Linked DNA regions of Nothobranchius furzeri. The protein of the gene in region 1 purifies or fractionates together with the protein of each later gene. This does not show direct contact. Links are inferred from orthologs where the notes say so. Each region holds a gene or a part of one and is shown in the gene's direction. Other genes may lie near its edges.

The links.
Region 2: the proteins of ubr5 (region 1) and plk1 purify together in Homo sapiens (affinity purification with mass spectrometry; 4 studies listed by BioGRID and IntAct, with this or other methods). This does not show direct contact. The link is inferred for Nothobranchius furzeri from reciprocal best matches to the Homo sapiens genes UBR5 and PLK1.
Region 3: the proteins of ubr5 (region 1) and sox2 purify together in Homo sapiens (affinity purification with western blotting; 3 studies listed by BioGRID and IntAct, with this or other methods). This does not show direct contact. The link is inferred for Nothobranchius furzeri from reciprocal best matches to the Homo sapiens genes UBR5 and SOX2.
Region 4: the proteins of ubr5 (region 1) and atmin purify together in Homo sapiens (affinity purification with western blotting; 3 studies listed by BioGRID). This does not show direct contact. The link is inferred for Nothobranchius furzeri from reciprocal best matches to the Homo sapiens genes UBR5 and ATMIN.

What each region holds. Positions count from the first base shown.
Region 1 is NC_091745.1:50,573,970-50,580,928, reverse strand, and holds part of ubr5 (E3 ubiquitin-protein ligase UBR5), read left to right. Parts: intron 1-2,336; coding exon 2,337-2,594; intron 2,595-2,690; coding exon 2,691-2,959; intron 2,960-3,831; coding exon 3,832-4,043; intron 4,044-4,178; coding exon 4,179-4,412; intron 4,413-4,506; coding exon 4,507-4,580; intron 4,581-4,661; coding exon 4,662-4,834; intron 4,835-4,947; coding exon 4,948-5,097; intron 5,098-5,297; coding exon 5,298-5,515; intron 5,516-5,644; coding exon 5,645-5,765; intron 5,766-6,959. UniProt on the Homo sapiens protein: E3 ubiquitin-protein ligase involved in different protein quality control pathways in the cytoplasm and nucleus. Mainly acts as a ubiquitin chain elongator that extends pre-ubiquitinated substrates.
Region 2 is NC_091744.1:8,885,406-8,893,016, forward strand, and holds plk1 (serine/threonine-protein kinase PLK1), read left to right. Parts: upstream 1-2,517; 5' UTR 2,518-2,697; coding exon 2,698-3,051; intron 3,052-3,366; coding exon 3,367-3,535; intron 3,536-3,645; coding exon 3,646-3,790; intron 3,791-3,864; coding exon 3,865-3,958; intron 3,959-4,039; coding exon 4,040-4,262; intron 4,263-4,386; coding exon 4,387-4,429; intron 4,430-4,542; coding exon 4,543-4,640; intron 4,641-4,772; coding exon 4,773-4,850; intron 4,851-5,475; coding exon 5,476-5,630; intron 5,631-5,716; coding exon 5,717-5,899; intron 5,900-5,980; coding exon 5,981-6,175; 3' UTR 6,176-6,761; downstream 6,762-7,611. UniProt on the Homo sapiens protein: Serine/threonine-protein kinase that performs several important functions throughout M phase of the cell cycle, including the regulation of centrosome maturation and spindle assembly, the removal of cohesins from chromosome arms, the inactivation of anaphase-promoting complex/cyclosome (APC/C) inhibitors, and the regulation of mitotic exit and cytokinesis.
Region 3 is NC_091748.1:72,768,868-72,776,285, reverse strand, and holds sox2 (transcription factor Sox-2), read left to right. Parts: upstream 1-2,573; 5' UTR 2,574-3,061; coding exon 3,062-4,030; 3' UTR 4,031-4,953; downstream 4,954-7,418. UniProt on the Homo sapiens protein: Transcription factor that forms a trimeric complex with OCT4 on DNA and controls the expression of a number of genes involved in embryonic development such as YES1, FGF4, UTF1 and ZFP206. Binds to the proximal enhancer region of NANOG.
Region 4 is NC_091749.1:56,995,230-57,002,188, forward strand, and holds the end of atmin (ATM interactor), read left to right. Parts: intron 1-2,090; coding exon 2,091-2,216; intron 2,217-2,716; coding exon 2,717-2,916; intron 2,917-3,000; coding exon 3,001-4,786; 3' UTR 4,787-5,330; downstream 5,331-6,959. UniProt on the Homo sapiens protein: Transcription factor. Plays a crucial role in cell survival and RAD51 foci formation in response to methylating DNA damage. Involved in regulating the activity of ATM in the absence of DNA damage. May play a role in stabilizing ATM.

The sequences.
Region 1 (6,959 bases):
ACACGTCTGACCTGTAAAATCATTTAGGACTTGAGCCTAATTAAACTTCTGCGTCGAGTCAGACAAACGCAACGCCATTATTTGCCCTTTCTAGGGATCTCCGATAGGCTCCCAAGGACGGGCAGTCGAGCTCTCTTTTCTAAACATCCGTCAAGACTGAGAACGCAAGCTTGTGATTGGTCAGGACGCCGCTGTCGTCTACAGCGCCGCCATTGCGCCCTCAAAAACATAGAGAGCCGAGGATATCTAGCGGCAGACACGGAGAAGCATAAAGAGTACCTTGATGAGAAACTCTAAAATATGAACGTTTCATTGCCCCGTGACTGGAGGAGTGAATAGATAAGCAGCAAGCGTTTTATTTTTGGCCTGAAATGATGGAAACGTGGGTTTAGAGATGGTGAATGCTTGAAGAGATGGAGGAGGGTGAGGGACAAATTTATCCGTGTTAAAAACACACCATCTTGGACCGGATACATGACAGGATACCACAGAAACGCGCTACGCCCCCTGGTGTCCTGGAGGGGCATTGCTTTGTAACACTCCCCAGGAGACGGAGAAGCATGAGGACAAAACTTCTCTGTCCGTCCGTGTCTCTCCCTGGTAAAGCTGACGGACACGTATAAATTAGGCATAATACTCTTGAAACAAAAATCTTTGTTGACTAAACTGACTAAGACTAAAATGCATTTTTGCCATAAATTACTGCCAACACCGAACCTGCGTCAGGGCCTGACAGAACAAGATGAACGGCAGGCGCTTTAACTGCTAAACTACCAAAGCCTATGCACTGATGTTGCTTAAACCCGTAACCCCACTCTGTTCTCTCTGGTCTGACCAGAACCTCTAACTGTACCTAAGGGGTCCTACAAGAAAGTGAGCATTCTCTCATGCCATGTCCAAATAATGGAATTGGGTCAGCTGTTTTTAACATGCTTTATAAAGGTTAGATGGATGAAAAAGTCTAAAAACATGTGGCAATCAATAAAAAGGTAAAACTCATTGAAATGAGCAGTCCCAAAATACCGTATTGACCCGAGTATAGGACGACCCCCCTTTCCAAAACTAATCTTCAGAAAAAGACAACAAAAAACTTTTTAAAGAAATTATTTTTATTGAAAATTCGAGAAGAAATACTGAGCAAAAATACAATTTTAATACAAACTATCAGAACTTTGCTGACATCAAAAGTCAAATGAAGCTTTTATTCAGACTCCCTCTGCCTCGCTGTTCTCACTCATGCTGCTGTGGGATGTACCATCAGATGGCCACACCTGCCGACTCCTCCCAGAACGTCGTCTTCACTGCCATCCAATCCATCCATGCATGCAATGTTTGACGCCTCTGCTGAGTTGACCACCGTCATCTTAAAATTTGCATACCTCTGCCTTATAGCTTGTTAACTTGCTCCACTCTGTTTCGGACCTCTCGTCTTCATTTTTTCTCCTGTTGATAACATGCAGCCTGGCGCCCCTCTGCTGTTACGGGCGTGTAATGGTTAGACCCCAATTATAAGATGACCCCACATTTAAAATTGTCAATGAAACAAACCTTGTCTTATCCGGGTCAATAAGGTAAAATACATGTAAAATACATAAAAGCAACTTAAACCATGTACACTGGGGCAACAGTGGCACATGAGTTAAGTGTTCGCTTTGTAATCGGAAGGTTGCAGGTTTGAGCCCCGCTCAGTCTCTCGCTGTCGTTGTGTCCTTGGGCAAGACACTTAACCCACGTTGCCTGCTGCTGGTGGTGGTCGGAGTGACCGGTGGCGCCAGTGCTCGGCAGCCTCGCCTCTGTCAGTGCGCCCCAGGGCAGCTGTGGCTACACTGTAGCTCATCCCCACCAGCGTGTGAATGTGTGTGTGAATGGGTGAATGACTGATTGTGTTGTAAAGTGCCTTGGGGGGGTTCCAGGACTCTAGAAGGTGCTATATCAAATACAGACCATTTATCATTACTAGTGGGCTAAGATTTAACACAATCAAGATGACATAAAAGAAGTGAACGGCAGATTTAAAACGTGTTAAAGGGGGAGCCAGATGGACGTGCAGAGGGAGAGCAAGTTCCTTAAAATGGGGCACAGTACCCATTTTAACTTTATTCTTACATAATGCACCTTTTAAATTTAGTGTTTTGGTCTCAACAGGGAATGGAGCTGATTTGACTTGATTTCTTACTGCTTTCTCTTAGTGCTCCGATAAGTTATTGTGTGATTCACTAACGTGCATCAATGATTCTGTACGTTTGAATAGAAAACCAAAGTGGAATTAAAGGTTAACAAAGCTATTAAAGCATTTTTGTGTTTATTGTTTTGTTTCTTCTCTTCCTGTATTGAAGGTGCCAGCAGTGTTCCTGCCTTCTTTTCAGAGGACGACTCCCAGTCCAACGACTCCAGTGACTCGGACAGCAGTAGCAGTCAGAGTGATGATGTTGACCAAGAAACGTTTCTCTTAGATGAACCTCTGGAACGTACCACTAGCGCCTCACATGCTAACACTGCAGCCCAAGCTCCTCGCTCCATGCAGTGGGCTGTTAGAAACACACCCAGCCAAAGGACAAGTGGAAGCGCTCCCTCTAGCTCTTCAGCTCCAGCTGGTCAGTCAGCACCTGTCTGCATTTAAAAGTCTACAGTCTGTAGGGCGTTGAATTACAAATGTTGTCTATAATCATTTTATTTTGCCTCTTAAACAGCAAGCTCCACCGGTTTGATCTACATCGACCCTACAAACCTGCGCCGCTCCAACGCCATCAGCTCCAGTGCAGCAGCAGCTGCGGCAGCTCTGGAAGCCAGTAACTCCAGCAGTTACCTGACGTCTGCCAGTAGCCTGGCTCGTGCCTACAGCATCGTCATCAGGCAGATATCAGACCTCATGAGTCTGATTCCCAAGTATAACCATCTAGTCTACTCACAGTATCCTGCTGCTGTAAAGCTCTCCTACCAAGATGCTGTTAGCCTGCAGGTGATTATCGTTGGATAGGTCTGTCAGAATATCACAATCATTAAAAAAAAACCTCTTTAATAATGTTAACCTCAGACTTTATGAGTTAATGCAGTGGTCAAAAAAATGTTTGTCCCCCACCCCATGAGTGCAGACACGTGCATGTGCACACACTTATTATTTTTTTATGTTTCTGTTCTTAACAAATAAAAGTAAACCGCAATAACTTGCAGGTTACAATGAAATAAATAAATTCTGGAGTTATCTGGGACCCGAGCGACAGATAAACCGCACAAATCCCATATTCCATTTTACAACTACGAGAACCTCCAGAGCTCCTCTGCTCCCCGATTGTACACTCGTCCAGGTAACCAGACTGAATGATGGCTGAGAAGAGGCTGCACTCTCGGGCATTTCCTAATAAAACTAACCATGCAGAATGCCTCCTTAAATGGAAATGCAACCCGTTACTCAGCTTTTTATTTATTCCTGACGGGAACCTCTCCTCTGTCTCAACTGCGTTTAACCTCTGCAACTTGTTTGTTTCTTTTGCACTTTGGCAGCCGTTGTCTCAGTCTCACTGTAAATAAAGTTTTTTTTTTTTTCGGGAAATACACAAGCTGTGGACCAAACATGGTTACTTAAAGGTGTTGCTGTATGTAAATGACGAGAACAGACATGAGCAACTGGGCAGCACAGGTAGGATTTATCATCAGATGAGTGCGGAGGAACGTGCGTACGAGAGCCCACCGTATGTTAAATAAATCAGGATTTTGACCGTTCGTCTGAACGTTCTAAATTTCATTTGTAGGGAGGAAGTTAGGACAGTTCCTATGAACGATAAAAAAGGGTCCATACTATGACCAGTGTGTAATGATTATCATGTCTACCAGAACTACGTGGAAGAAAAGCTGATTCCCACCTGGAATTGGATGGTGTCCATCATGGATTCTACTGAGGCTCAGCTGCGATATGGCTCGGCTTTGTCGTCAGCTGGAGACCCGGGTCACCCCAGTCACCCACTTCACGCCTCTCAGCACTCAGCTCGCAGAGATCGCATGACCGCTCGGGAGGAGGCCAGCCTCCGCACTCTGGAAGGACGCAGGTATAGTTTTTCTTCGTCTTCATTGGAACATAATGACTGACTCAGTTTATTTGTTTACAACTTGATCAAATGAAAACACAGACCAGAAGTCAACCCATGCAGTCGTTTGGTTCACAATCATCTGCTTTCCTTCAGGAGAGCAGCAACGTTGCTGACCGCCCGTCAAGGCATGATGTCAGCACGGGGCGACTTCCTGAACTATGCGCTGTCACTGATGCGCTCCCACAACGATGAGCACTCGGATGTTCTTCCTGTCCTGGATGTGTGCTCGCTAAAACACGTAGCCTACGTGTTCCAGGCTCTGATCTACTGGATTAAGGCTATGAACCAGCAAACCACCCTGGACACCCCTCAGATGGAGAGAAAGAGGTGTGTGTTTAAAAGTTGCATCACCAGACAAGTATTGGTTGCTAACTAAACGGCTCATTGCTTAAGTAGAATTATTTATTTATTTTTTCACTAGGAATAGAGAAATATTGGAACTGGGCCTGGACAACGAGGATTCTGAGCACGAAAACGATGAAGACACTAACCAAAGTACAGCAGCTTGGTTGACTACATCGGTACACAGACGCTGGTATTTTAAACTTTGTTTGAAAAGTTTTTCTTTCAACACAGGTTCAACGCTGCAAGACAAAGACGATGACCCAGTTCCAGCTGAAACGGGTCAGAACCATCCCTTCTTCCGCCGCTCGGACTCCATGACCTTCCTGGGCTGCATCCCACCCAACCCCTTTGATGTTCCTCTTGCGGAGGCCATTCCACTGGCAGACCAGCCCCATCTCCTGCAGGTCTGACATGTGGCTGTTCTGTGACATGCTTCACCAGCTACACGGGACATGTTTGTTTGTTTGGGTTTTTGCATTTATGTATTAAAAAGTCCATGTTGCCTCCTGTCTAACAGCCTAACGCCAGAAAGGAGGACCTGTTTGGGCGTCCCTCTCAGGGCTTATACTCCTCCTCCTACATGACGACCAAAGGCCTGGCTGAGACCAGCATGGACAGGAACTGCCTGGAGGTAAACATGGGCTCCTCTCTACTCTCCTCCTCTCAGGTACACCACCCACCGTCAGAGAAACAGCTGAGCTCTATGCGAAGCAATTTAAAACCAAATGCTTAAAACAACACAAGATTATCTCCTAGATGTTTGTTTTAAATGTGTTTACTGGAACCTGATAGTCATAATCCCATCATCATTATTTCAGTGTGACTGTTTTCTTCTTGCTAATAAATAACACTATCCCTGGTGGACAGATCCTGCCCACAAAGATGTCCTACACAGCCAACCTGAAAAATGTCATGAGCATGGAAACTGGCCAGCGGAGCAGTGACAACCAGTTATTGGGTGAACAGGAGATGGAGGCTTCTAAACCAGGACCTTCTCCTCATGACCTCGCTGCCCAGCTGAAGAGCAGTCTCCTCGCTGAGATTGGTCTCACTGAGAGTGACGGTCCTCCTCTTCCGTCATTCAGGTGAGGTCGCTGGTGGTTCTCTCTAAAACTGGAAGAAGACCTCTCAGCAGAACCTCATTTTTTTCCCAAATGTTATCAATCAAAATGACTTTTAAACATGAGAATGCCGTTTGTCCTCTGCTTGTCCAGGCCTCACTGCAGCTTCATGGGGATGATGATCTCGCATGACATGCTGCTTGGCCGCTGGCGTCTGTCACTTGAGCTGTTCGGTCGCGTATTCATGGAGGATGTGGGAGCAGAGCCCGGATCGGTAACTATCTAGGCTAACAAAGAAGATGAATGTGTTTAGCATTTTAACACAGAACCTCACTTTGGGTTTCCAACTAGAACTGGCTGGAAATGTTTTCAGGGCCCTCGCTTATCAACCTTCCTTTAGCACAGATTGGTACGTAGGAATGATTTTACACTTTGGTGTTTACCGTCTTGGACAGCGCTGAATTTTTGTACGAACAGCATCTAGTGGTGGAGCGGGGGAGCCACAATACTGAAGATCATCCACGGTGTTCCTCATCTACAGATCATTTTAATTAATAAGTAGTTGTCCTGGAGAAGCAACGTTGTCTAAGGGTGTGCCGTCGTAGGTACCTCACAGCTCCTTTTGATCATCATGATGACCACGATAAACAATGTTTTCTCTCATAGCTTTTTCATACCTTCAAATTAGTTCTGCACACATTAATTCACGTAGCCAAATAGCTTTTATCTTATTGGTGTGAGACCGAACACATACCAGCATGCTTTTGCATGAAATCTACAGGAAAACATGAATGATAAAAATGAAAGTGAATAGAATCAGCTGAGGCAACAAAGCTACGTGAGCTTCTGGCCTTTAGATCTGAAAGAAAACAACCTTTTATAAAGCGCCTCTCAAGATAATAATCATGAGGCGCTGAACGGAGAAACGGCGCCACATCGCGGCCTGGCAGGATGTGGAAGTGGCGCTCAGGTCGCCAAACAAAAGACAAGAAGTTAAAAGATCACACAGACATTTACTAGAGAAACCATGCTTTAAAAGAAGCCTTCTCACCTGGATTTCTGCATGTTTACCCCTTTTCCAACATTTTCCCGGGATCGGATGAACATCGCTGGGAACGTTGGTGTTGGCATTAGCATTTGGGTCTGGGCCAGTGCACATAAACAAACAGGAAGGTAAATCCCAGGTGTGTCCTGGGCGATCGCGGACGAGGTCACTTACATCCATCAGGATTTTCACTGTTCGTACGAACGTTCTAGATTTCATTTGTAGGGTGAAATACGGGTCAAGAACCTTGATAAGTGAGGGCTTCACACCAAACCATACAGCAACTATATGCTCAGTGGAGGGGAAGTTTCCAGCTGAAATAAATTAAAAAAGGTTTGAACCATGTCTGACAATAGTTCTCTCACACACACACACACACCAAATCGGACTGTAATGGAAGCGTCAGAGCTCCCTTTGCTGTTT
Region 2 (7,611 bases), on another chromosome or scaffold:
GAATGAATGTAAAGGAATTCTTGTGGTTCTTTTGCAAGAATAACGATTTAAAGTGAAATTATTTCCCTTTGGTTTAGAATCAAATCAATTTCATTACATTTTCTTTATGTTTCATTTAACTTTTTCAAATTTGTAACCAGTGTTTCAATGTCCTTTATCCACGTACTGCAAGCCATGCATAGAATCAAATTGTCTTTTATATGTTCAGGACATACAGGTGAATCAATACAGTGTTTTTCTCTCATCTTTGTGGTACAGGAAAAACAACATTTAAAAGTAAAAGTATATAAAGATAAGATTATATAGAAATATGAGAAAAGTAAATGTATTGATTTTCATTGACAGTATAAAAGTTTTATTGGAAAGAAAATAGCATGCTGGAAAATAGTGCTGAAGAACAGAGCTGTTGCAGTATGTCAATATTTGTATTTAAGTTGCACCCAGTGACCTTGGGTGTTCTGAAAGGCGCTTTTAAATAAAATGTATTATTATTATTATTATTAAACACGTCTGTTTATAATTTCCCTGAGCTGGAGAAAAAAAGGTAAAAAAAAAAAAGAAATAGATAGTTAATAAGACAATCTGATTATTTTACAATTTACTTAATAGTGAATAAATGAAACTTTAATCCTTTAAGGTCCCAATGAGTATAAAATGAAAAGCTGGAGGAAATTATCACACCATATTTAGTTACATTGGATCTTTAATCCCAACACGGATTAGAATACAAATATCATACACTATTTCTCTTTTCAACAGATCATTTTTCCTGTCCTTGGTCCCTGGCAAACATTACAAACAAATGCATAGTGCTAGCATCATTTGAATATTTAAAACAGTCCCTACAGTCTTTTTAGGTCATTCATTATTATAAAGTGAAAACTAAAAGTTTGCATTCTCCACATAACTTTTAGATTTCACCATCACTTTTGAAGACAGACATTTTGATTAATTTTATTCTATATTTACATATCTTTGGCTGAAATATGTATTCTAAATGTGGCAAGCATGTTGTTCTGATTTAGGAAAAAACATCCTTTGTCCTGGTTTTGCTAACGCTTTACTTTATGTAGGTGAAAAATTAAAGAGCTCACAGCACCCTTGAGATTCCAGTGAGCCAAAACTGTGGAAGAAAAGAAGATGAAACATGGAGGGAGGTAACCTACTCTACTTTCTTTGTGCCCCTCTGCAGAGGACGTTCAGCTCTCTGCAAAATCCTGTGTAATAAACTAAATGTGTGTAAATGTTGACCCATACAAGCACAGACAAGCTTACTTCATTTAGTTTTCCCTACAGCATCTTCTGTGTGTTGCCATGGAAACACATGGCAGCAGAAGAGAAGGATGAATGTGCAAAAATGGAACAGACACATATAAGCCAGCAATCTCCACACATCACCCACCAGTCGGACTAAAGCCTGAAGACCATTTATAAACAAACACACAAAGTGAAAAAACAAAAAACTGTAAAACACACATATTTTAAAGAGTGTGTGCATAGTAAATAGTCCCTATATTAAACATCCCCCCTTATAACAAAGTCAAATCAGCCACTAGCTGTGCACTCTTACTTTTTGTTTTAATAACTATGGGAGGCTTCAACAGAAAATGATTCCCTGGAAAAAGTGTTGTGGACTGAAATTTTTATTTTAAGATGATGTTACCTATTTAATGATTAGACATTTATAAAGTTAATTCTAGACCATCATGACAATAATCTATTTATGATCTCATTATTTACAGCTGTGAATCCGTGCTGTGTCATATGAAGTGCTTATTGTGTGATTGGTCTGAAAAAAGTGCTTTCTCAAGGAACAATAATTGTGAATTTGTCCACTGCTGCCACCCAGTGGAATATGTGTGAAAGTGAATTAAACTATCAATAATGTAATTTTTTGCAACATCATGATTTTCTCAATTTACCTTTTAACTGTAGAAATACACAATTTAATAGTTCTGTGCCGATATCGTTTTTGCAAACATGCTTTTATTACTCAAAACGTTTGTGCATTTCGTCTTATTTTATTTCAATTTTCGTTTTTATTTTGACCACACTGTCGTTTCACTGTTTTATCCAGTTTAATAATATGATTACATGTTAAAATTAAATCCTTCTTGGATTCTGGATGACGATAAAATCAAGTAAAATCTAACACTAGTCTACATTTACCATCAGCCTTTGCGTTAAGGAAACGCAAGACGTCATTGAGCCAATCACGATGTTAGAACTTTATTTCAACCCCGTTGATTGGCTAGTTTTGCATTTTTCTTCCCACAATGCTTTGCGTAGAATTCAAATCAAGTGGACCAATGAGAAAGCGCCGTGGCGACAGAGCGAGCATTTAACTTAATACTAGAAACTGTTTTCGAAGGGCAGAACAGAACACAGGAGACGCCGCCGTCGGACACGTCTGCTGAATTATTCCATGAGGAAAGCAGATTTATTTTAATATTTATGTCTATATATGTCGTTTTATAATTGTAGAACCTAATGTTAATTATCGCTTGCTTTCAGGAAGTCTAAACTCGTGATTAGATTTAAATTCAGACGTGTATGGGAGAAAGTTAGCTAGCTAGGCTAAAGTAACGTCGGTTGTGTTAGGGTTAGTAGTTTGATTCTTGTAGTTTTCACCACGTTTACTGCGCGGAGAGAAAATAAACATTCCTGTAAGTTCATAGAAGACAGCTCTAATACAAAATGAGTGCTGGTACCGCAAAGCCGTTGGAACGTGCGGATCCCAAATCGGCACCTCTCAAAGAAATCCCAGAAATTCTCGTTGATTCCCGAACCATGAAAAGATACACGAGGGGGAGATTCCTCGGGAAGGGTGGTTTCGCCAAATGCTACGAGATCACAGATGTAGAGACGAAGACGGTGTTTGCTGGCAAGATCGTAGCTAAGTATTTGTTACAAAAGCAGCACCAAAGGGATAAGATGACCTCGGAAATCGCCATACACAAGAGTCTGGATCACGCTAACATCGTCGGCTTCCACGGGTTTTTCGAAGACGATGACCATGTGTTTGTGGTCCTGGAGATCTGCAGGAGAAGGGTGAGTACGATGGAAGGAAACCAGCTTTTCAGTGAGGTTTAGAGCCGACGGTTAAACACTGCGACATCTTCCGTTGTCCTCATGTTTAAATAGTGGGAAGCAAGCAGTACCAGACTCATTTAACACCTCACAACTATTTGATCTTTGATAAAAACATCTTAAAAAGAAACTTCTAGCCTATAAATGTGGGTTTATTGGTCCAGTACCACTCTGGTGGCCCCATGTGTACCATATGTTCAATCTTATAATTAAACGCATAAAAGATCACTCTTTTCTTGAGCTGTTGTCTTGACTGTTTAAAATGCTTTATTTCAGTCCTTGCTGGAGCTGCACAAACGCCGCAAGGCTGTGACGGAGCCTGAAGCTCGCTACTACATGGCCCAGCTGCTGAAGGGTGTCCAGTACCTGCACAACAACAAGGTCATCCACAGAGACCTGAAACTGGGCAATATCTTCCTCAACGACGACATGGATGTCAAAATTGGTACTCCACTTGCTTGGACTTGTAGCTTGCACTAGATCTTTTGTTTTTATCACGTCGAGAAGGATTTGAATCAAAGCATGCCTCGTTATTACGTGTTCTCTCTTGTTTAGGGGACTTTGGCTTGGCGACTAAGATCGAGTTTGAAGGCGAACGAAAGAAGACTTTGTGTGGAACGCCCAACTACATAGCACCAGAAGTGCTTTGTAAAAAGGGCCACAGCTATGAGGTCGATGTCTGGTCACTTGGGTGCATATTGTAAGTACAGGCCCACAAACGCAACTCATTTGAAATGTCCCAGCTGTGAAAGCTTCCCTTTTCTGTTCTTTCAGGTACACTCTGTTGGTGGGCAAGCCCCCGTTTGAGACCTCCTGTTTGAAGGACACCTACAGTCGCATCAAGAAGAACAACTACACCATCCCCTGGGTATGAAAATCAAACTGAATGCACCGTTTTCTTTCTAAAATTAAGTTAATAATTGAGTCGTATGATCTGAACAACCTGCAGCACATCACCCCGACTGCGGCGACTCTGATCAAGAAGATGCTGCACGCCGATCCTGCACAGAGGCCAAGCGTTGCTGAAGTGCAGGCCGATGAGTTCTTTACGTCCGGCTACATCCCCCTCCGTCTGCCCACCACGTGTCTTACTGTACCCCCTCGGTTCTCCATCGCCCCCTCCACAACTGCAGAGCTCAGCCAGCGGCGTCCTCTGACTGCTCTAAACAAGGGTAATGGCGATCAAAATGAAAATCTTTGTTTTTATTTTTCCTAGGCAATGATGTTTGAGTTGATCCACATAGATTTTATTAGTCTTGTTTTAGATGTTAACGTTTTTTTTTTCTTTGTTCCCAGTTGGTACGGAGAAAACGGAGGTGAAAGACGAGCCTATGCAAAGGTGTTTTTCATTTATTTATCACATGACAAACATTTTATAAAAATTCTAGTTCTGTTAGTTTTTATCTTTTCTTTGCGTAGATGTTGTTAACCTTTAAATGTGTGTGTGTGCAGGGCGGCTGAACCATCAGAGCCCTACCTGAAAGACATGCTGCAGCAGCTGAACAGCATCATGTCCACCAAACCCTCTGAAAGGGCCGTCATCCAGCAAGGTTAGTGGACGTGTCTCACTTCGTCTTTACCGATCTTGTGGAGTCTCTGTTGCTATTTCTCTGAATTTTGTCAAAACGGATGCGGTTATCTACTTTTTAATCTACATCTAAGGTTTTTTTGTGTAATTCCAGAGGAGGCCGAGGATCCTGCGTGCATCCCCATCTTCTGGATCAGCAAATGGGTCGACTACTCTGATAAATATGGATTAGGTAAATGTTAGGAGACCGTTTGTTTGTTCACATAAGCTGCAATTTTAACTTTGTAAGTTTGGTTTAGACTATTAAAAGTATATACAGGGTATCTGCAGGTCCATAAAAAGTCTTAAATTAGCTTTTCCAAATTTAAGGCCTTAAAAATCCTTAAAAATGACAAATAGTCCTTAAATAGTTTCCAACGGTCTTAAATTACCAAAGACCCAATAAACAAGATTCTTTTATTTCTATAAAATTTTCATGAATTTCTAGTTAGTTTGGCATTTTTTGTGTATGATATTGGCGTAAGCGGAACCGTACACATTCGGTTGGTTGTGAAAGGGGGCTATTTTTAGATGAGCATGCTAGTGGGAGTTTGCACCATGGGGAAGTGCAACATTAATGGTAAATGGATGGCTAATCCCACGTTCACGACCTGGTTAGCACCGGTTCCAGGCAATAGCTGGAAATTATAGCTTAAATTTAATTTAAAAAAAAAAGAAGCTTAAATTTGGTCAAAGTGGCCTTAAAAAAGGTCTTAAAAAGTCTTAAATCTGGCTCCCTTAAACCTGCAGATACCCTGTATAGATGTTATCTGGTACTGTTAAAAGTATCTTTACAGAGTTTTTAATGTCTGTTCCAGGCTACCAGCTCTGCGACAACAGCGTGGGGGTTCTGTTCAACGATTACACCCGGCTCATCATGTACGCTGACGGAGACAGCCTCCAGTACATCGATAAGACTGCAGCTGAGTCCTACCTCAGCGTTCGCTCTTTCCCCGCTACTCTCAACAAAAAGGTCAGACAGTGTTTTTATTTATTTTTTAATTCCATTTTATCCCCTTCAAGGCCATCACAGTGACTTGTATTTCTCTCTGGCTGTAGATTACGCTGCTGAAATACTTCCGTAACTATATGAGCGAGCACCTCCTGAAAGCTGGGGCCAACATGGCGCGGCGGGAGGGAGATGAGCTGGCACGGCTGCCTTACCTCTCCTTGTGGTTTAGGACGAAAAGCGCCATCGTACTGCACCTCAGCAACGGCACAGTTCAGATCAACTTCTTCCAGGTTAGATGGTTAACCCTTTCACTCAACGCGTGATGCTTCACGTGCGCGATCCCTCATCTTCTATCATTATGTGCTTTTCAGGATCACACCAAGCTGATCTTGTGTCCGCTCATGTCGGCGGTGACCTACATCGACGAGAAGCGAGACTTCCGCACTTACAAGCTGTCTCTTCTGGAGGAGTTCGGCTGCAGTAAGGAGCTGGCTAGCCGCATACGTTACGCCAAGCAGATGGTGGAGAAGCTGCAGGACAGCAAGGCTTCTTCTCCTGCACAATAGTCTAGTTTGTTCCTCAAACCTTCAATCACTTTCCCTTCTAGTCGCAGAACTTTTAATATTACGTGTATTTTTTAAAGCGAAGCAGAGGTTTTCATGTCACACTTACACAATGTGCTCCATCAACCTAAACTTTAATATGCCAACATGTTTTCCTCTTATGTTCACCTTTCATGGACTGCTTAATTATCAACACCAAGACTAATAACGTAGCTTGAAAAGAGCTGTTGAAATGCATCATTTAAGAAGTTGAGGCGTTTGGTTGTAAACCTTTCCTTTTTCCTGTTGTTGTTCTTGTGTTTTAAATCATTCAGGAAGATGTTCGTCTTGTGAGAGATGGACTCTCAACATGCTGTTCATAAAGCACTGGTCTGCTTTTCCAGTCTGTGTGTGCGGAAACTGACCGTGTTAATGTTTTCATCATGTACATTCTTCCTGTTTGTTTGTGTTTGTAACTGTTGGCTAAGCGGGTTGATGGTGAACAAACTTGTACATACTGCTGAGTATTTTAAAGAGGGTAAACCTCTGCTCAAGATGAAATAAAGATTGTTTTTCCAAGTAAAAATAAAAAATTGTTAATTCTCTCAAATCTTTGCATTTTGTTTATTCAAGTCAACAAAGTGCAAAATACTGAGCTAATTTCAGCTCCATTGGAAGCCTAAAGTCATGTCCACGGGTCTCTTACAGTAAAAAAAACACAATCTGGGCCATTATGTTATCTTCTGGTCTTGTTTATGTGCCATAGCTTTAACTTGATCATGTCTGAATTGTGAAGACAGTTTACGGCACAGGTTATTCAGGCTTTGTGTGAAATCACGTAGAGCTGAGGTAGTTCAATTCAATTTTATTTATATAGCGCCAAATCACGACAAGAGTTGTCTCAAGGCATAATAAACATTCCAATACAGGTCAGTTCATTAAGCCAATCAGAAATAATGTTTCCTATATAAGGAACCCAGCAAATTGCATCAAGTCACTGACTAGTGTCAGTGACTTTACAGCAATCCTCATACTAAGCAAGCATAAAGCGACAGTGGAGAGGAAAACTCCCTTAGGTAGTGAACTCTGTTCCCTGAGGGCTGGTGCCCAGCATGTTTTAGTTGTTTCCCTACACAAACACAGTTGATTCACCTGTTCAGCTGCTCATCAAACTCTGGAGAAGCTGTTAAATCACCCGTTGATTAATATCTGGTGTGTTGAAGCAGGGAAACAACTAAAACCTGCTGGATACTGGCCCTTGGGGAAGGGAGTTGACTATCCCTGACAGAGGACTTCAAATGATTGTCTCACCAAATTCTTGCCTTATATATTCACATATATAGGATAGCTTGCCAGGCTATCATCAAACCAGACAAGAGAAGAAAAACGAGTTTAGCAAGCATTGCACCCATTTACAAGTACAACTAATGTGCTTCTGGGTGTAGAGCAAAGCAGACTAG
Region 3 (7,418 bases), on another chromosome or scaffold:
TGCTCAAACTGCGACAGAAATTTTATTTTGTTTGTTCAATATATAAAAAATATATATATAGGCTACAAATTCAAATATATGCATAACATTAATTATATTATCATTAGGATTAGAAATCTGATTCTACTTTCGCACCGTTATTTTATTCTAATTACATTTATTTTAATAAGTTAGGCATTTTTCGCTTTTTATTATTTTCCTCTGTAATTTAAAGGAATTTGCATTATGTGCTTAATTGCGCCTCGCTGATAAATTTCTTATAATTAAAATTAATCAATGTCAATTTCGCGCATTTATTAGGAAAAGGGAAATCTTGAATGCGTTTTTTTTTTCTTTAATCTCTGTTAAGTTCTTTCCCACATCATCAGACGCGGTTGGTGTGTTTTCATATTTTCCTCCGTGTGTTGAGTCCGTGGCACGGCCCCTGGCGGCTGAAACTCCCCTTTATGACCTTTATTTGTCAGAAATGTGTTTATGTAGGAGGCCTTAAAATTCCCTCGTTTTCTTCCCTTTAACAGGATTAGTTCCGTTTAAGTTCAGACTGAATAAAGTTTCATCTGCAACAGGTGAAAAATAAACTTGTTTGGAGACAGGAGACAGGTTTTATTTATTTATTTTTTAGTTCCCGCGCATTGCGGGTGTTTTTGCTCGCATGTTTTGCGGAGATCCCATCATCTAAATTTGTGCAACCACAACACGGTATTTTGGTTTCCCAGCATGCAGCTCGTTGCATTTGCAGGATCCATCCCAACCTGCTGTGGTGGGGGGTCTTACAAGTGGTCGGAGGGAACCGCCCCTCTAGTTTCCCCGGCTTCTTTATTTTTTTGTCCAACAGCGGGTTTAATGCGGGATGATAGTGGATGCGGGGCCACTCCCGGCTGGCTGGGGCCCGCTTTCACAGAGCTGCGGGGCCCCCGCTGTTCCTTTATTATCATAAGCAGATTAGAGGTAGCGGGGAACACACTCAGATGCAGATAGCAGCCGAGCGGCCCATTTCAACCTTGCATCATAATGGACCGAGCTGCATGTGTCGCTTCTTGCAGCCTATTAAGCACCAGATGAACCTCATAAGGCTGCAGAGGCCCGGCCGGGCTCCGCGCCTCCATTTATTATCAAAATGACTAAAACTAAATAATACAACTTCATCTATTTCAAAGATGCTTTAATCTGCGCATTTAAATGAAATAATTGCAGGTGTGTTGGTCTGTCTTTACTGGTCTGCTGCACTCGCAGATCCGGACGTATGTTTGGTGTTTGGAATAAAAATGATGTGAAATAAATATTTTTGTATTTTGGTTTAGTTTTTTTTATCTACTTTAACTTCTAACAGCGGTGATTTTGTTGTCTGAGAAAACTTTTTTCAGAGTTTGCGTGTAGTTCTGCGTTAGTCCAGTAGGCGGCACTGGTGTCACGCAGCACTGCGCCAAAGCCGCGAGGTGGACAGTCAGAATAGAAACAAGTGGCACCAAGCGCTGCAGACTCCAGAAGTTTGCTCGTGTTGGACTGTTGAGCTTTCTGAGAGTGTGTTGCCTTTGTGGAGAATCTCATGTCGCATTAATCTGAGTTTGATCAGAACTGAAGCAGGTAGAGGCCGCTGCTTTTCTGACTCCCTCACGCGCTTGGTTGTGTTTTCACATGAATCTAGAAACACTCATGTCCTTTTATTAGCCCTCCCTTTTAGACAACGGGTCTAAGCCGCCTGCAAGCCCCCAGCAGCAGCAGCAGCATCAGTGGAGTGGAGTTGGGGCTTTGTCCGGACAGATGTAGCGACAACATCCCAAACAAAACGCGCTTATTTGTGCTGATGAGATGAGCCCGTCTGCCTTGTGTGTGTTGGCATTCAACTTCCCAAAACAAAAGCTTTAGGTGGGGAGGCAGACATCTTGGATTACCTTTCCTCCTTTCAACACCCAAAACCAGCCCCCCCCCCCCCCCCCCACACACACACACACAGGGCTTTTGAGTTAACTAACAACGTTTACTTAAGTCTTGTTGTGCTGTTGGGCCCGATTGTGTGTGTGTGTGTGTGTGTGTGTGTGGAGGGGGGGGGGTGTTAGTAACTTTTTTGATTATTCTCTAACACTGACACAAGGTCATGCCTTCAGTCAGAAAAAAAAACAGTTTCCGGTTTGAATAACGTCACCAGTTGATTATTGTATTTCTTATTAAAAGATATTTCCGCCTATTTGCCTTCATTTCACCACCTAAACATTAGATTATTATGTCTGGATTAAAACTTTCTAACTCAGCCACAGCTGAATATAAGATAATTGTCATTTTTTTTGGGTCGTTTTATTAATTTTGAGGAATTCTTTCATCATTTGCACGTGCTACCTGTTCAAGAAAAAAAACTTTTTATTTATTTATAAACGTCCTATCAAGTTCGGCGTCACAGTTTTACTCTTCATAAATAAAAACACTCGCAAATGAGCTTCTATACGGACAGCAATGAGAAACAATAATGCTCATAGTACATGTGTACTCTGTGTTTGGCTCATAGGGCAGCCTGAGAGTGAGAGTATGCCCGTAAGCTCCGGAGCAGACAGGCCCCGCCTCTTTATGCTAATTAGGGCCTCCCATTGGTGTGTCAGTGGGGAAGGCCTGCTCTGATTGGCCAGGTCGAAGCCATTTATTCGATGACAGCCATGACATGGTTGTCTATTAACTTGTTCAAAAACTATCAGGAGTTGTCAAGGCTCAGGCGGGCAGAGGCGCAAAAGTACAGTTTGTTGATGCTTTTTGGAGGAAGCGAGAGAAGTTTTGTGGACACGACATAGCAGGGACCTATTGGGAGAAGGCTCTCTGTCCACACACACTCTCTCACACACACACACACACGCACACTCGGGGGACGGAAGAGAGAAGGGAGAGTGTGTGGAGACGCGGCTTGATGCTTGTTTTTGTCCAGAGAAAAGTTGCAGAGCAACCCGACAGGTAACTTTCAGCCGCTGCGCTCCTCGCTGCCTCCGGCTCCTGGAGTTTCTGTTTCTTTTTCTTTCTTCCTCTTTTTTTTTCGTCCTCCATTCGTCGGCTTGGAAGCACCGACTCAAAGCTGTTCCTGATGTATAACATGATGGAGACTGAACTGAAGCCCCCAGCTCCCCAGACCAACACGGGGGGCACGGGAAACACCAACACCACGGGGAACGGCACCAACCAGAAAAACAGTCCGGAGCGGGTCAAGAGACCCATGAACGCGTTCATGGTGTGGTCCCGGGGCCAGAGGAGGAAGATGGCGCAAGAAAACCCCAAAATGCACAACTCCGAAATCAGCAAGCGGCTGGGAGCAGAGTGGAAGCTCCTGTCGGAGAGCGAGAAAAGACCTTTCATCGATGAAGCCAAGAGGCTGAGGGCCCTGCACATGAAGGAGCATCCGGATTACAAATACCGGCCCCGGCGGAAAACCAAGACCCTCATGAAGAAGGACAAGTACACCTTGCCCGGCGGGCTGCTGGCTCCTGGAGGAAACGGGATGGGCACTGGAGTCGGTGTCGGGGTGGGGGCCGGACTGGGCGGTGGAGTGAACCAGCGCATGGACAGTTACGCAGCGCACATGAACGGCTGGACCAACGGTGGCTACGGCATGATGCAGGACCAGCTGAGCTACCAGCACCCGGGTCTGAACGCGCACAACCCGAGCCAGATGCAGTCCATGCACCGCTACGACATGAGCGCCCTGCAGTACAACTCCATGACCAGCTCCCAGACCTACATGAACGGCTCCCCCACCTACTCCATGTCCTACTCCCAGCAAACCACGCCGGGGATGACCACCCTGGGCTCCATGGGGCCCTCCTCGGTGGTCAAGTCCGAGTCCAGCAGCTCCAGTCCGCCCGTTGTCACCTCCTCGTCCCACCGGGCCGCTCCTGGCTGCCAAAGCGGGGACCTGAGGGACATGATCAGCATGTACCTGCCCGGGGCCGAGGTCAGTGACCAGAGCGCCCAGACCAGGCTACACATGTCCGGCCACTACCAGAGCGCCGTGCCCGGGACGACGATCAACGGCACGCTGCCGTTAACACACATGTGAGAGAGAGACAGACAGACAGAGAGAGAGAGAGTGAGACAGAGCAAAAGAACTTTTATAAGAGAAACTGCGGACTATAGACGCTGGACTATTTTTGTACAGAAAAATTTGGGGTGGGAAAAGTTGTATAGAAGTTTCCAGGAAAAAAGGACTCCACTGTTTCTTTTAAAATTAATTTTATTTTTTATTTTATTCTGAAGATGCTCTAGAGGAACGATAGGAGACCCCCCCCCCCCCTCTAAAATGGTGGATGGAGTTTGGAAATCTAGAAAGTGGGAGTCGCAATCAGATGTTTTATTATTGCAATCACCTTTTGTACAGTATTTATCAAAGAAACATTACAATCAGAGGGAATTGCTAAACTGCAAGAGGTTGCATCTTTCTTTTCGTTTTTTATATAAAGCGGCGCCAGTTCTGCAGAAAAGATGAATGAATAAAAACTGCAGAATTGGAATTTTTATCAGTTAGAATTACTGCAAACACTGGAATGAAAAGGGACATAAGAAGCAGGTAAAACTGTTATTCTTTTCAGTTTTTTCTCCATTTAAGGTCAACGTTACTAAACTTTTCTTTTATTTCTTTGAGAAACAAACGTGAGACAATTTTTTCTGTCATGCAACTTAAATTTTTAGCTAGTTAATTTATATTTCCGTCTCCCACTTTTCATCATTTAGCGGACATGACGCTTGTGCTCTTTATTTTTTTTATTGATTTGTACAATTTCTGTATATTTACTGTGACATTTGAAGTTTTTATTTCAAAGCTCATTCCCGTAGTTGTATTTTGAAACTCGTGGCCTGTACGCAGAAGCCACGCACTCCATGTAAATACCCCCAGACTAATACCATCCTTATAACAGTTACAGTTTCAGCTGAGTATATTTTTTTTCAATATGCGGTTTGAAATGAATAAATTTTGGAAATTTGGATACTTGAAATAGTTTGAGTTTTGATTCAGTTTCTGTCACGTTGAATAATTCGTGTGTTGAGTGTTTTTTTTTCATCCCGTCTTTTTATTTGGCATCTTTCGGGTGATTTCTGCCTTTTGAGAACAACAGCAGCTTTCTGGGGGGACGCTCCTCCTTTATTCCCAGCCTGTGCGTCGAGGTTAACCACGTTTCTTTCTTCCAGTTCCCGCTGGTCCTCAAAGACAAAGTTTGTTGCCTGGAGAGGTTTTTCCAGCAAAAATTCCCAACATTCCCAGGTACAGACTGTCATTTCTCTTCTTTGATATAAAAAGAGGAAAACGTTGAGGCAAACATTTCATCTTAATACGTTTAAAAATGCTAATAATTGGTATGTGGGGGGCCTTTTTTGGACTGGGGCACTATTTTTATTTAGTGACACAACTGAGCAGGATTTTCATTTTTAAATAATTTTCCCAGTATTTCCGTGTTGTTTCACTGCTTGTTTGTGTTTTGCTCCTATAAATCCCAGTTTTCCAAGCGGCTTCCAGACAGGAAGTCGCGTTTTAATGTCTCTAAGGAGATTTAGTTTTAATTTAATGTTCACTCAAACGGTTCACACCGCCTCTCCGCTAACTGTCACCGTCTGCACACGACACCAACCTCTAATAAAAACAGGAACCCTCCAGAAAACAAAAATCTTCCCATGCGTCTTTCCGCCAGCAGGCCGATTCCCCTCCACTCTTAATAATAATCCCTTTGATGAGCTAACAGCTCGCCCTGAATTTAACTAACGGTTCTAAATCGTTAAGAGTGTCTGTGTGTGTGTGTGTGTGTGTGTGTGTGTGTGTGTGTGCGCGCGCGCGCGTGTGTGTTGTGGGGTAGATTAGGACCGTTGTGTCTTGCAGGCTCGGTCCCGAGGGAGCGGCAGATGAATATTTGAAGAGGCCACTCTGTATTTATCCATCCACTTCTCCTTCTCTCTCTCTCTCTCTCTCTCTCTCTCTCTCTCTCTCTCTCTCTCTCTCTCTTTCTTTCTCTCTCTCTCTCTCTCTCTCTCTCTCTCTCTCTCTCTCTCTCTCTCTCTCTCTCTCTCTCTCTCTCTCTCTCTCTGGAGGTCAGGCGGATCGTCGGTTTCCTCATTAATTATTGATCCGAACAGCGGATTCGCTTGTAATAGCCGAGCAGGCCGGTGATAAACAATTTGTTTCTAAAAAGGTCGGACTGGACGCGTTAAACCCCCTCCCTTCTTATTCAATAAGCGCCGGGCCCCTGCAGGCCCGGAGGCCCCGATAAATTCATATTTATCCCGGCTGAGCGGAGCAGCTTTGATGTAAGGAAAACACTTTTTATATATTATTATTTGACAGGAGAGAATGTTTGATCAACTTCTGTTGTCTGGAGCTTGTGAGACCTGTTGGTCACGCCTAGGAGAGAGCTTCAACCACAAGGTTCAGTCTTAAATAGCATTCATTTCAATTAGAAACGATTCAATTGCATGGTATATATATATATATATATATATATATATATATATATATATATATATATATATATATATATATGGCCTTTTTGACTTGATTTAATCTTAAAAACTAGGGGAATATACAAGTGGTTGAGATCACATTTTGAATGAAAAACATCCAGATAATTTAGTGAGTCACGTGTTTGAAATTTCACCAGTCAATAAATAATTTAATTAGAATAAAATCGCGTTAGAACTGAAATATTTAAGTGCTGTTAACATCCTATAAATGAGTGTATAGCTTCACTTCTAGCGCTGATCAGGTGTTTCTCTCCATCCTTTCATCTTCCGCTTCCCGCGGCGTCTGGCGGCCGCAGCTCGAGGATATCTGGCCTGCAACAGGTGGTGAGCGCGCGCCAGTTTTGTTCTTCTTTAGTTCCATCGTTAAAAAAAACTTCCAGATGTTATCTATGGCAACCGTGTGTGTATGTGTGTGTGTGTGGGAGGGGGCGCGCTCCGTGTTTCATAACAAAGGTGCTCTTTTATTTCTTTTCCAACGCTGAAGGGAACAAAAAGTGAAAAAATGTCACCAAAAATTTTGAATTATTATTTGTTTTATTACAGCGAGTCTGAAAGTATTTAAAACAAAAATAAAACATTTAGATTTGAATAATTACAAAAAACGGTTTAAAATAAATACAAGAACACTTGTTTAATCCACAACGAGACGTGTCCCGCGCCGTTTTCCAAATCCTATATTGTCTGTTTGTTGTTGGGATTAAAAACATTTTTAATTAGGTCAAATGACCAGTTTGTACACGCGCGCGTGCACACACGCAAACAATGCCTGTTTAGTGATCCCGTAATCCCACGAGAGCCACTTTCCTTTTTCATCACGGATGATGAAGAGGAGGGGGCGTGACGTCAGCTACCCATGAAACGCTCTTTAGTGATTCTGCGTCTCTTCCACCTGCTGACCGTAAACGCACCGCGCGTGTTTGTAGAATGGAAATTGATTTAAA
Region 4 (6,959 bases), on another chromosome or scaffold:
GCCGGGGATTAAAAACCGGGTAAGGAATGAGCAGGATTAACACAAAAAGCTCCACCAAAACGGTGAGCCAGATCTCTCTTTAACGAGGATGCTGAAGAAACACAAACGAGCTCTAGAAACTAGGAAGTATTTACCGATACCACTCAGGTAAGCAAAGCAAGACTTTAACGTCAGTTCGAGGAGGGAAAGAGGAGAGCAAACACTGCTGCTTGTTCTCTTCTGAAGCCCCCCCCCTATCATCAGACGCACCCTTTTAACGGGGAGCCTCACTGATTGAAATCAAAGTCACCTGGCAAAGCTAGAGCCAGGAGAGCAGGTAGGAACGCTGAGGGCACCTAGTGGCCACAAAACAGACAGCGTCTGTTACACTCCTACGGGTGTTTACATGATCATGTATGTTCACTCTGTTGTCGTGCAATGCATTCAGGGGAGCTGTGGTTTCCTAAAATAAGTCCTGTTGACTTGTGTTTAGGGCTGACGACAATCAATTAATCGTACGATAGATGAAAATGAGCTCAATAATATTTCCAACATTGACATATCGGTCTTTGTCAGACACGTGGCCTGCATGTCAACCACACCCCCTTAGCGCAACTTTAGGTGTATGACTCGCGTTGTTGGGGAAAGTCGCAGCTGAAGTTGAAGCAGAACAAGAGTCAAAAGGATGGATTAAAAGAACAAGGAAGCATCCCTTACAGGAATAAAATTGTGCAGGAGGCTAGAGATCTGTATTTTCAGAAATTGTCTACAATCAATAACGTACATCTCTACGACCTCAAAGGAAACAAACGGAGCTCAGACGTTTCATTACTGCCAAAAATATATCACTTGAGTAAACGTAGTACTACTTCAACATATTTATAATTACATGAAAGTAAAAAGTAGCCATCCAAAGACATTACTTTACTAACACAGGTGCTGCGCCAGGTTTTAATTTCTGGATGGGCGTTAATTAATTAATTAATTTTGGAGACATGGGGTCTATTTTATTGTTTTTGGTGCAATAGTTTCTAACAAATAGTGACCGTCTTTTTTTAATTATTATTATTATTTTATTTAGTAGTTCTGGTTCTGAACATTGCAATATTAAATAAAGGTTTGTTGCATTATTATGATATATTAACATTACATAAGTGGTTATTTTGGTCTAATTATGGTATAATGTCCACAATATCGTTAATCGTCAACTTGTTGGACAGTAAACCATTTAGCAAAATTTGTTATTGTCCCAGTCCTATTTTATTTTATTTTATTTTATTTTATTAAAGTGTCCGTGTCACAGACTGTGGTTTTCATGAAGTATTTTATTTTTATTTTTACTAATTAAGAGAAGAGGCTGATTTGCTTCCTCAAACACTGCATCAGCCCAAGCAGAATGCTTTTTTCAGATTCTTCTATTTTAGGAGCCATTGGTCGAGCAGGGCTTTGTTTTGTGCGTCAGTGTAATCGGTATACCAGAAAATCATGCACCGACAAAGGTTCCACCTTGCTTGAAATTCAAGCTGTAATTAAATGCATTAATATTTCTTAATGCGTTATGTTTTTCTAATTAAATAATCAAAATTAAAGCGTTGAATTCTCACCCCTAATAAAAATACAATGGGATGTGTATTTAATGAATGACACATTATAAGGACCTTCCAGCTGTTACTGTAATAAATATGTTTGTGTTGTAAGAGACTATATTCATACTAGTTCACAGGGCAGCTAATGTTAATGAATGTGAGACAGCTGGAGGAAGGGTTGGTAACCAAAATGCAAGAAAAATTAGGCTCTTTATTCAAACAAATTGTGAGATTCAATAAAGAAATATTGTGACTAATTTAGATTTACTTTTGTCTTTTTTTGTACTCATTATTTAATGAGGGTTAGGGTCTGCCACACGACTCTGGCATGTGTAAAACTTGCTGCAAAAACTCCATAAGCATGAATTTGGTTTGAGTTTAAGGGATAATTTGAGTTTCTTCTCGCAGTTTTATGTCTCAGCTAATCCCGATCATTGACAGCCCTGTGAGATACTGGCTTCAGTATCTTAACATTTAACATGTCTTCTTGTCTTTTTTTATTCATGCTGCCATGGATACCATCAGGATGGGATGGTCAATCCCACAGTCAGAAAGGAAATGAAGGGCACTCAGAAACTTTACTGCTGTCCTATTGAGGGCTGTCCAAGGGGGCTCAACAGACCTTTCTCCCAGTTCTCTCTGGTTAAACAAGTAAGCAATGATTCACGCATCTGTTTTTACTTCTTACAAGACTTTTAACTCCTCACACACATTAGCTTCCTTTGATGTGTTTGGATTGCAAAAAAGTGTCTAGTTACTTTACTTTTCAGTTATGTATTTTATGTTAAAGGTTTGACTTCTAAATTGCAGATTAGAGCTAATTAAACACATGGATAGCGGTAGCTTGTCCTCATGCTGCTAAAGCATTTCTGATTGAGGAGACGATGCTTGCAGCAGGTCCTCTGGGTTGCAGGTTGGTTCTTTCAGAACTAGGTGGGTTTTACACCTTTTAGAGTAACCAGGAAGGGTTGATGCCATCAGGCAGCGCTGTTACCAAGAGGGAGCATTTTCTCAGCGACAGTGCGTAGGTGGGAGGGCCCTGCATTAACATTCTGACCCAAGGTTTTCCATCATATCACCGTTATCGTTTTTGCTCTTCTCTGTACCTGTTGGGTTTTATTTCCATGGCCTTTTACTTTGCATCGTTGTAGCACTACATGAAGATGCATGCAGAGAAAAAGCACAAGTGCTCTAAATGCAGCAATGGCTACAGCACAGAGTGGGACCTGAAGAGGCACATAGAGGACTGTGGGAAGACTTACCAGTGTACTTGTGGCTGCCCCTATGCAAGCAGAGCTGCACTGCTGTCACATAACTACAGAACAGGTCACGAAATCCCAAAAGAATACAGGCACGTAGACCAAATGCTTCATTGAAATCTTGCATTTTCTTTATTATGATCTGTAGAATTAACTTGTTGGTCTTTTTCTTTCAGACTTCCTCCAGTCAAAAAGCGAAAGATGGAAAAGCATACAGGTGGTTCTGAAAAAGTCCGAGTTAATGACTCAGCTGTGCAGATCATGCCTTCTACTAAGGAGTTGACAGAAACTTCTCCACCTCTTGATTTGGCTGCAAACATCCTAGATCCAGCTAACCAGATTTCCAGCCCCCATAGGAGCCTTCAGAAGTTGCTCCTACCAAAACCCAAAATTGCCTTGGTCAGTGTTCCTGTCATGCAGCTGGCCCATCTGCCTGTTCTTCTTCCATCTACAGAAAGTGGGACTCTGAGGTCGGTGGTTCTTGCAGTAGACAACCATGGCTCTTTCAGTACATTCCAGCTCCTTCCACAGACAATGGGAGCACTGGTTCCCCAGCTGGATGGGAAAGGCTTGGTTTTCGAGAACAGCAAGTCAACTTCCCGTTCTACCCTGGATGGCATCAGCACAGGGGTGCAGGTCAATCTGGACCCTGTTGGTTTAGATGACTCAGCCAGCAGTGTGACGGGGCAGCGAGGAAGGAGCACCTCTACCAACATCCAGACTGATAAATCCTATTTGTCAAAGCTGCCCATCGGGATGGGAGTTGGGGAGGGAGCAGGGTTGTGTTCCATGGGCGAGGCCTCAGTTTCATCCTGCTCCCAAACAGACATCAGTGTGAGTGCCCAAGTCCTCCTGCCAGTCAGTGTGGAGACCCAGACATTCTTTTCCCGAGCCAAATCCACATCATCTGTTGGAGCTCAGACAGAGAGCCAGGGCCTGAGCCAAATCACGTCCCTCTCCTCATCTGTGCTCCCGTTTCAAACCAGACAGACGCAGACAATCGTTGCTCTGCCACAGTTGGAGGATAAGGCTCCTGACCAGGCTGTTATGTGTTCAGATCTATTTGTTAATGAGTCTCTAAGCACTTCAACACAAACAGCCCAGGACATTATTAACAGCCCTAGTGCTGCAGGAAGAAATCTGTATGAAGACTCAAAGTCGGTGGCGGGTATGTGTTTTGGGGTGCAGACACATGAGCTGGGTGCTAACAACATGGCCGATAACCAGACCCAAACGATAACGCTGTTAAATGACCTTGAGAACATTCTGGCTGGCGGCATGTCGGGTCACCAGGTTCTCGCGGAGGTTTCTGCTGGTTGTGGGTCCGGTCCTGGCTCTGTTCAGGAGCAGCACAATGGAATTGACTTTGACTTTGAGGAGTTCCTCAACACCGTTCACATTCAGACACAAACGGAGGAGAGTGAACTTGGTGTGCTAGGTGGTGACACTCCGCTGGAGTCGCTGGACATTCAGACGCAGACAGATTTCCTCCTTATGGATGAGCTGGACCAAAATGAGGGACAAAGTCGACCCCAAGCCAGTGACCTTGAGCTGTTTGACACCCAGACTCAGACCGATCTCAATTTCCTGCTGAATGCTGGCAGCAACATGCCCCTAAGCAGTATCCTTCGACATTCAACCTTTTCAATCAGCACCGAGTCGTCAGATACCGAAACACAGACGGATCTCCCTTCCTTTACTACAGCTCCATCCTCACTTTCTAATGGAGGTCAAGGTGAGGCAGTGAGGTTGTTGAACAGCACAGAAACCCAGACTGTGACCAGCCAAGCAGAAGGCCTGGGGCAACTCTTTCTGACCAGCAATGAAACCCAGACCGTTATGAACGACTTCCTGTCAGCAGACCTGGCGTGGAATATGGAGTCACACTTTAGCTCTGTGGAGACTCAGACCTGTGAGGAGCTTTGTGCTCTCTTTCATCACCCCGACAAACCCGACAGCTGAAACTCTTCCTGAAGTAGGGTTGACCATTCCAGTGGGACGTCCGTGTCCACAGCTTTTCCAGGTGTTGATCCTGACAGCTTTGCTGCACTTTATGAGCTCCATGGGCATGGTTCATTAGCTCCTGTGACAGTTTACATATTTATTTGCACACAAAGTCACGTTATATGTATCTTGTCAGAAATGCCATGTGTATATTTGAGCATAGGACCACTGTGGGTAGTTTGTGCTGCTTGGTCCGTCCAAGTGTGTCTAGGCAGAAAACCTTTCTGAATTTATTACATCTCAGCTGTACAATATGCAGTATTGTAAAGTTTGTTTACATGTAAAATGGGCACGGAGGCCTTTTTAGGTCAATGGCACAACACAAGCATCTGATCGGCTGCCTCTTCAGCGTCGCTGTGTCCGTTTAAAGACGCTGAACTGCAACCATCAAAGCTTATATGACCAGTGAAAGTCGTTTTTGGTTTTCAAAGCCTTTCAAGAGTTGAGATACGGTTGTAAAAATTTAGAAAAACTAAAATGTTGCACAAGTAAAATCTTTGATGTCTTTGTTGGTTTTTGCACAGCTTTCATTTAGGTGATTGTGATGTCTCATATGAAAAATGTTTTCTGGGTTGGTTTTTGTTTCTACATGAAACCAAGTCCGTAAGCGGGCTCGACTGTCTAACTTATTTATTAGCTGCGTGTAAGTGTGTACAATAGCAGCAACCTGTTCTGAATGGATCTGATGATGTCATTGTGTAGCAACAGCGAGTTAGTTGGGATGAGTTGTGTTACTGTTCAAACCAGTCATGTGGAGCATCCCATTTTCTCTCCTAACGTTGTCACACAGTGTTTTAACTTGGCTTTTCTCCTCTCTGAGCGGCTAAACTCAGCATTTTTGGTGAAACCGTTACCTCACCTGCACCACTTAATCAGCTACGTTCTACGAGGAAACATAGAGCCTTGTTTTTAGCTTGTTTGGTTGTATTGGTGCCTTGTTCCAGGTGTTAATATCAGCTCTGGTTTAAATAGGTCACTGCTTCCATAAATAATTTCAGAAAGTGATCAAACATAGTAGGACTGTCAGAAGCTGTGGGGTCTTTATGTTGCATGTTTAATCCATAGTGTTTTCAACATTGTCGCATGATCATCAGTAATATTCTGAGTATTTTTTCATATTTTCTATGGAAATATGTATGTCTTGTCATTGAATGATTGCTGTGCAGTGTATTATTATTATTAGGATGAATATCTTTCATTCCATTTCTTTGGAACATGTTGTTTTCTTATTCTGACTTCTATTTCCCTGTGAAAATATTTTGACACAATTTTTTTTTTGATCTTCACGCTTTGTTCTTCATTTCAGAAGATTTAGAAATGATATTGCTGCTTCCTGCAGATGTCGTAGGATGGCAAATGTCTTCAAAATCTATTTTGTGAAGGCTTTTGGTCTATATTGCAACGTTTTCTTCTCCCTTTCTGGGAGTGCATGCACAACATTTGTTTAGCAGAACTGAGTTTCTGTTGCCTACACGTGTAGAATAAATGGTTGCCTTGATTGTTTCTTGAAGCTACACTACAGATGTCAATAAAAAGCTATGAAGTACTGTTTTTTTATCTTTTAATATTTAAATAATAGTTGCATTCTGCTAAAAAGAAGAAAAGACTCCTGGAGATAGGCACCAGCTGTCTACGGTCCTGTATGGATAAGCGAGTATTGAAAATGGATGGCTGGATAGAGAAGAAAAGTCCACACTTCAAGGTTTTTGAAGATTAAAACTAAATAGAAAAACGTGACTTCTTTAATGTTTACACCTTTTTGTGCTAAAATTAGATAAAACATAAAATGTAGGCATCGCAGATGCATGTCAGACACTTATTTCAAATTACTTTTACACTAATAATATATTTATAAAATCTAAACAATATAATCCCATTTGCATATCATTGCACTGAGTGCACTTCAAAAAATGTGTGGTGGGTTTATAAATATCAGTAAGGGCTGCATGACCTGGATCCAATTCCCACCAGGAGACGTCTGATAGAAGTGGAGTACCGGTACATATAAAGTGGATGAAGTGCTGGGAGGCATTTAAATGAATCCATCAGACAGTAACGCAGGAACAGCCACACTCCTTATGAGGTAGCTGCATTGTTAGGTAACAGGACCAGATGCAAAACCACTTGTGGG